2 linked regions of the Oryctolagus cuniculus genome follow. The protein of the gene in region 2 interacts with the protein of the main gene of each other region in a pairwise test. Links are inferred from orthologs where the notes say so. Each region holds a gene or a part of one and is shown on either strand. Other genes may lie near its edges.

Region 1 (4,270 bases), on a different chromosome or scaffold from region 2:
GCCAGGACAGGTTCCTCCGACATCTAGCAGAGTCTAGAATATTCCCCTCACAGAAACTCATGTGAGGTTCAGAGCCCTTCCTTGGACTCCCTTTTTTTGCTTTCTAACCCACATTATTGATTTTTATCTCGCTTGTTTTGTGGGGCAGGGATTTTTTTTTTTTGCTGCTTCGTTCATTGCTGGGAGCATAGCAGGCGCTCAATACCTGTCGAACGACTGATGCAAAGCAGGCAGGCGAGGGTGGGTGCGCGCTGTGGAACCCAGGAATAAGCCTGTGTCAGGGTGCAGGTGCTGGGTGGGGGCAGAGGGGTGGCCCGCCCCAGCCGCAGTGTCATGGAGATAAAAAATTCTGCAGCTCCACCCGGAGCGGAGGAACGGGCTCCGACGCGTCCCCTGGGGACGTGAACCAGGGTGCCCAGCCGCTATTCCGCTTCCTACGTGTCACCCGGACAGGTCCAGCAGCCTCCAGGGGGACTGCGGACCTGGAGCCTCGCTTGGGGACAGAGAGTCCCCCGCTTCAGGCAGCCGTCGCGCGGGGGAGCGCCATGCTGACAGGCTGGAGCTACCGTGTCCGCGCCCCCTCATTCCCTCTCCCGGGCCCTGCTCCCCGCCATGACCGGCTATTCTGCCTGGAAAACAGGGTCTGGGCTGGGGCCCCGCCCCTCCCCGGGTAACTGCCCAGAGGACATGGGGCGGGGCCGTGAATCAGCACTCGCTCCGACCGTTGCCGCCCTCGTCCCCGCCAGAGGTCTCCCGTGTCCGCCGGTTTAGGAGCCCCATCCTCCCACGCCCCTGCGCGCTATGCACACTGGGAGATGTAGTCTCGGCCGCCCTTTTGTCTTCGGTTTCCTCAATGCGCCGTTGGACGGCGTTGTGAACTACAACTCCCAGGAGCCCACGCGCGCCCTAGGCCCGGCCGGCCCGGGGCCTGAAGGGGGGAGGGGAGTCTGGAGAGGCTTAGGCGAAGGAATCCGGGTGCAGTAAAAAAAAAAAAAAAAAGGGGTGGGTGGGTGGGAGCGTGGCGGGGGGCAGCGGGGAAGCAGAGGACACTCGCAAGACCGCAGCGGGCCGAGCTGGGGGATGGGGGACCGAAGCTCGAGCGGCGCGAATGCCCGGGCGGGGCCTGGGCGGGCGGGCGCGCGCGCGCGCGCGCGCGGGTGAGTGGGCGGGGCCGCTTGCGTCACGCGGCGTGGGCGGGGCCGCAGGGGGTTGTCCGCCCGCGGCACGCACAGCAGCCGCAGCCGCCTCGCGCCCGGTCCCGCGGTCGCAGCTCGTGCCGCCTCCTCCTCGCCGCCGCCTCAGCCGCTGCCGCCGCCGCCGCCTCAGCCTCTCGCCTCGTGGGTCGGTCTTTCCGGCACACGGGCCCCAGCCGCGCCGCAGCCGCCCTCCGAGCCCCTTCAGGCCGCCCCGGTGTCCCCCTCCGGCCCGACCCAGCCCGCGAAGATGGTGGACCGCGAGCAACTGGTGCAGAAAGCCCGACTGGCCGAGCAGGCGGAGCGCTACGACGACATGGCCGCGGCCATGAAGAACGTGAGTGTCTCCTCCCCTCCCCCACGCTCCCCCGTCCCTCCGGGAGGGGGGCACGCGGTCAGCGGCGGGCAAGGCCCGGCGCGACGGCAGGGGAGGGGGCGGCAGCCCGGGGGCTGCGTCCCCGCGGGGGCTGCGGCGGGGACCCGGGTGGGGACGCGGCCTCGCCCGGGGGGCCCGGCGGCGCTGGGCGGGGTCTTGCGGGTCTGGTCTCCGGGTGTGCGGGGGGCCCTGCGCATCCTTTGTGCCCCACTTCCCCTCCTCCCCGCCGGGCGTGGGGGCGGGGGGCCGCATGGACGCCGTTCCTCTTTCTCTCCCTGGTGTCTGGGCGGCGCCTTTCCCGTCCGCTCGGCGGGTCTCCCGGGTGGCCACCCCCTCCCCAGCCCTTGGACCCTCCCCGGGGTGTGGGGGTTGGGGGGGGGGGGAAGGTGCTCCGGAAAACCTGGGCTCCGCGGTGCAAAATCGAAACCTCCTGGCTCACGTTTTTCTTAACAAAAGGCTGTAGCTCCATGGCCCAAAGCGCATCCCCTGCCCTTTTTTTTTGGGGGGGGGGCGTTTGTCTCGCTGGCGTTTCCATTGATTGTTCTCAATATGTCATCTCCATTTTTTTCCCCTTGTGTTCTTGCATTGGAAAGGGTAGGTATCGCCCTGAAAATAAACGTTGAGAATTTAGCTCCCTGTTTCTTCTTTGAACACAGGCACGCGTCTGTTGAAATTCCTACAAGTTGAAAAAAAATATATAGAGATATAGGCACACAGTCCGTCTGATCTGATATTGCAAACAAAGCGGTGGTGGGAGGCAGGATCCAGGCGTTCCAGAAGGTTCTGCATTTGTCATATTGCAGAGAGCCTAGACTGGGTGGAGGCAGGGAGCACTTCGCGGCCAGGGGAGCGAGCCCTTGCTCAGGAATTCGCTCTGGGAGCCGCCGGAGCTTCCTGCCCCTCGCCCTGGAGGAGAGGCAGCCCCGCTCAGCCCCGCGGTCTGGTCTGTGCGGGATGCGGGTCCCTGCCCCCGGCTGCACCATTTTGTCAGGAGCCCCAGCTCGCCCCGGCCCGCAGTGTGAATTCAGGGGAGGGGGGCTATTGCTGAAGGAGACGCAGGAAAACGGATGGTTTAGGGCTCCCACCGCCTTAGTATTTCACTTCCTGCCTTATGTAACAGGGTTAGAACGCCTCTCGGGCTGCGGTTTAAGGCTGCACCTTCAGAGCGGTGTGGGTTACGTTCATTCTTGAGCAGCAAGGTGACAAGGCTGGTCTGTTATCCTTGCTCCAGCTACAGATATTAACAAAAATTTTTTTATCCTGTTGAGGAAGGTCATTGTTCTGAAATTGGAGATGGTGCTGTTTTCATACATCCACAGAGTTGGTAGTTCTTAACGTTTTAATGCTCTGATAATGCAAGTCGCACTTTTAATATCTGCTCAACACTATTGGGAATATCTCCGGTTCGTGTCCTTTATTTAGGCTTTAATTCTGCCATGTTCCGAGTTTCACAGGAAGGCGAGTGACCTCGCACCTGTACCCATAGCAGCCCAGTGATGTCACGCACAATGACACAGAGGCTGCAGTGCACCTCGGAGCTGGGAGGAGTGTGCACTTGGCGTCTGTCCAAGGAGTGCAGAAGGTGGCTGAGGAGCCAGGTGGAGCTGAGCCCTTTATCCTCCCCCAGATAAGAACGGGTCCAGAAAACACGAATTTCCTTTTCCCTCAGACATGCAAACCCGCGACCCCTGGATATGCCTCACTCGTCTTCCCGTTTCCAGTTGGTCTCAGGATCCATGAGATACTTTCGTCTTTTTGAAGCATTGATCTCGCACATTTTAAAAATTGGGACAACAGCGGAATGAAAGAATTTTTAAAATAATACAGGATCACAGTGCAGGGGTGGAATGTGTACTCGGGTTTATTGCAAATAATTGGCAGGTTTTAATGAAAACCCTAAGAAACTGCGGCTTCCCACTGGGTTATTCTCAGGAAGCCGTAGGGAACGGAGACCTTTCAGGAAACATTTGACTTCAGGATTTGGGAAGCTGCTCTGTGCTTCCTCTCCTCGACAGAGCAGGGAGGAGAGAACCAATTGTACAATCAGGGTTTTTTTTTTTTTTTTTTTCTTTTAAGATTTATTTATTTGAGAGGCAGAGAGAGGTCTTCCGTCACTGGTTCACTCTCCCAAATGGCTGCAACAGCCAGAGCCAGGAGCTTCTTCCTGGTCTCCCATGAGAATGCAGGGGCCCAAGCACTTGGGCCGTCCCCCAGTGCTTTCCCAGGCCATTAGCAAGGGAGTTGGATCGGAAGTGGAGCAGCCAGGACTTGAACCAGTGCTCAGGGGGATGCCAGCAGGCTTCACCCGGTGCACCACAGTGCTGGCCCCAACAAGGATGTTTTTTGAAAGCTATTTATGTTGACTTAGCAAGTAGGTTTCCCTCTGACTTCCTTTCCCCATCCGTGGAATGGGGCAATACCTGCCTGAATGGGTTACAGGATTACGTAAGGGACGCGGGAGCTGCGTCTGAAACTGTCCCTGCCCATGTGTCTAAGTCATCTGGAGCAGTTGGGCAGTGTGAAGGAAAACTCAGGTTTACCACCAAAGTGAGCTCTTTCCTAAGGCTGAAATCGGCATGGTGATAGAGGGGCTAAAATTTATCTGCATCTAGTGAAATAGCAGAGTGAATTGCACAGGTAGTTCCAAATGTTCATGGAAAATGGAAAGAAAAGATCAATTCTGGTGAGAAAATGTGAGGTT
Region 2 (3,807 bases):
GACACTCGTTCTGAACCAGGGCATCTGACACAGCTCTGTGAGTAACAGGGACAGACTGGCAACGGGTGGGGCATTCCCGGATCCTAGAGCTGTAATTTTGGAACACTACCCAGATAATGATGACACAGCCCTTGGGGTGCTCCCTCCCAAATCTCCCTGGCTATCATTTCAGTTCAAAGTTATTCATGTGTCTTGGGTGTGATTTACTTTGTCACATGATAACTGCATAGAACCTGCAATTTAGCCCTGATCTTTTACAATGCTAATGGGTTCTTTAACATTGACTTCCGGCTGAGTCCTTTACCCCTAAATGAACTCAGCGATATGGCCACATGGTGTTGTGCCTAACCCTGGGGCCCGGGTTGGACTCCCCAACACACAAAAGAAACCTCAACGGATCGGCACAGACAATAAATGAGGCTCTGAAAGTAGGACCAGTATCGCAGCAGCCGGCTACCACTGTGTCGGACTGAAGCACGGAACACGCAGGGGAAGTGTGTTCTATGCCGAGGTACACACCTCTTCCTCTGAACTGTCACTCGGGTCATTGTCTAGGGAGGCGCTCAAGGAGGCCGCCTTGGGCTCCAGGTAGCAGAGGCACAGAGCCAGAGGGAAGGAGAGAGTGAGGGCATATGGCACTGAGAAGGAGGCGGAGACCAGGAAGAAAAAGATGAAGAGGAAACAGGGCACGAGGGACGGGGAGCGGATGGGGAGGTAATGCTGCAGGCTCTGGGGCAGGAGGTTGGTTTCAGAGAGGTTGGGGAAAGAGAGGTAGCCGTCATCATCGAGGAGAGAGGGGAATGACTCGGGGAGCTGCAAGGAGAAGGAGAACAGGGTGGTCCCTTTGCCAGTTTGCTGTCTGCAGCTGAAAGCCACATCTTGATCCCCCACGTAAGCCTTCCCTTGGCCATCAGGGTCCAAGGTGGGCTCTCCACGCATGTGCTGGGCTTTGGGCGCCTCGCAACCTGGCAGTGCGTGCTCCTTCTCCTTACACCTCCGACGCAGCTCTGTAGAGGATGCAGGGGTATGATGGGCTGATGGGGGTGACAGGGGACATGAGTCGGTGCCAAGCCCAGGTGACTGATGTGAAAGAGACAGAGAGAGACAGGAAGCAGCAAACAGAGGTGCAAAAGGACAAAAAGAAAACTGCAATTAGTTAATTTTCTTATGGGAATCAATATAAATTGTAAAACAAGAACTTAAGCACTAGGGTTGCTCATGAATTGTCAAGTATTCAAGCTGCATGCCAACCTCATCGTGAACAGCTACGGTTCTCCCACAGGACCATCACATACAAGGTGGGATTTTTTTTTTTTTTAAGTCAGAACTGAAGGTATTTGTGGGAAATCCCAAAGTCTAAAATTTTACACAATCAAAAAAAATTTTCATTTTAGGCCAACAACTTGAGAAAGTTTTAGAACTTTGAGGACAAATACAATTCTGATAACTTAGATATGTCCTATCATTCTATATAAGACACTAACAGAGATTTAGACTGAGCAATAAATATACCAGTTACAGTAACACTGAAATAAATTTTTGCAGAATGGAAAACTTGGGACTTTAAAGGATTAAAGTCAAGACTTTCAATAACTTTGTCCTGATCTAGAAGTAGCAGATGTAGTATTATAGTTGAGCTGACTTAAAAATGAAAATGAAATCCAATACAAATTTTATTATTATTATTATTATTTATAATCTCCAGCATTACTCCTTCCCTTGTTTAATTAACTACATCCAAAACAGGTGGTTTTCACAAAACAAGAGGTTTCTGGCGCCATTCTTATCTGATAAGAACTCATCACCAGGAGACTCAACAAGGAGCATCTCAGAGACTCTGACCCCCTCAATGAATGGAGGCTCCTCTGAAAACCTTTCTATTTTGTCTCCTTTCTCTAGGACCAAAGCAGAATAAATGAAAAGAAAAACACAAATAAATGGTTTTAACAAGCTGACTAGCAAAAAGAAAGGGCTGTCTTGTAACATGGTTTGTGTTTTCTTTCTATTTTTGTGGTCCATAAATAATAGAAAGATACAATTTCCCAGCCTTCTGGTTTTTCTTAGCAGATAAAGGGCACAGTCATACCTTTGATTTGAGTCCTTAATACAACGGTAGAAACAGGCATTTCTACAAAAGTGCCTACTACATGCTGCCTACTACAAGTCTTTGGGGGGCAAAGAGGTCCAGTTCCCATTTATTCTGCATCCTGTACACCTCACTGACCAAAGCCAGTTTCCTCTGCAGATAGGTGGCAAGGCAGCGGCTAGGCAACAAAGGGAAGAAGGAAAGCAAGTTCATTGCAAGCAAGGCCTGTGCAGATGCGGAAGCTGTCACAGCCTGGCAGGGTACAAGGCCAAGGCACCCGCACCTGAAGATAAATGCTACATTCTGAGGTCGGCATTGTGGCTCAGCGGGTTAAGCTGCTGCTTGCAAAGTGGGCATCCCATGTTTGAATCCTGGTGCTCTGCTTTCCAATCCAGCTCCCTGCTAATGCTCCCAGGGAAGCAACAGATGATGGACCAAGTACTTGGGCCCTTGTTACCCATGTTTGGGAACCCAGATGGAGTTCCTGGCTTCAGCCTGGCCAAGCTCTGGCTGTTCTGAACATTTAGGGAGTGAACCAGCAGATGGAAGATTTCTTCCTCTGTCCCCCTCTCTGTTTCTCTGCCTTTCAAATAAGTGAATAAATGAATATGTTTTTTAAAGAGCTACAGTTTCTATGTGTGTGTGTGTTTTGCCTAGTGACCTGATAGCATGGAAATTATCCAGGCTCCTTGGGGCTGGGGGGTGGTGGTGGTGGTGGTTGTTTATCCAATTCTGACTTGGAAAGAGGTGGTAAATATAGCAACAGAAGGAAAGAAAATGCACAAATAAAATTATATCATGGCTTTATTAGCATTAGAAGTATCTCTTTTGACCATAAGTCACTCCCAAACATGCACATTTGAAATAAAGTTGTGCATTTTAAACAGGAGCCTGCATGAATCTCATTCAGCCAGGAATGACACAGAATTAACAAGCTACGTTCTGCAAGAAGACAACAGTCCTCCAGCAGAGAGCAGCACCGTGTGCTTGGGGCATCACCAGGGGGAGACACCCGCCTCTTCCAGCAATCCAGGCCGGGTCTTCTAAGAACTTTGTCAGTAACATATTTTCCTTTGGTTAAAATGTAAGTACTATCTATGTTCCTTTTTTGAAGATGGAGATGAATAAAATTAAGGTTTAATCTTTCATGTTGCCTATTAAAGAGGGTTTTAAAAGACAACTTTACAATGGGGAATTTGACAGTACTTCAAAAAGTTCGTGGAAATGAATATCATGAAAAATTATGCATAGATTTAAAATTCTTTTTGTACTAACACAGACATTAAAATTATTTTTTTCTATTAGAAAGGCAGAGAAGTTTACACACACAAGAGGCAGTGTACTCCTATTCACGGATCTACTTCCTAAATACCCTTAATGCCCAGGGGTAAGTCAGGCTGGAGCCAGGAATTCAATCCAGGTCTCCCACATGTGTAACAGGGACCCAAGAACTTGAGCCATCATCACCTGCTGCCTCCTGGGGTGTGCTTTAGTAGGGAGCCGGAACTAGGAACTGAGCCAGGACTTTGAACCCAGGCACCCCAATATGGGATGCAGGATTCCAAAGAGTATCTTTCCTACTATGCCAAAAACCCACCCCTCAACCTCTTAAAGAGTTATTTATTTTGAAAGTCAGAGTTACAGATAAGAGAGTCAAAGAGAGAGAGAGAAGGACCTTCCATCCGCTGGTTCACTCCCCAGATGGTTGTAACAGCCTGGGC

What was found.
Region 1: the proteins of EPB41L3 (region 2) and YWHAG interact in binary tests that used the Homo sapiens proteins (3 or more experiments, as listed by UniProt). The link is inferred for Oryctolagus cuniculus from reciprocal best matches to the Homo sapiens genes EPB41L3 and YWHAG.

What each region holds. Positions count from the first base shown.
Region 1 is NC_091450.1:44,226,019-44,230,288, forward strand, and holds the start of YWHAG (14-3-3 protein gamma), read left to right. Parts: upstream 1-1,201; 5' UTR 1,202-1,443; coding exon 1,444-1,530; intron 1,531-4,270. UniProt on the Homo sapiens protein: Adapter protein implicated in the regulation of a large spectrum of both general and specialized signaling pathways. Binds to a large number of partners, usually by recognition of a phosphoserine or phosphothreonine motif.
Region 2 is NC_091441.1:62,339,706-62,343,512, forward strand, and holds part of EPB41L3 (band 4.1-like protein 3), read right to left. Parts: intron 1,081-3,807; coding exon 520-1,080; intron 1-519. UniProt on the Homo sapiens protein: Tumor suppressor that inhibits cell proliferation and promotes apoptosis. Modulates the activity of protein arginine N-methyltransferases, including PRMT3 and PRMT5.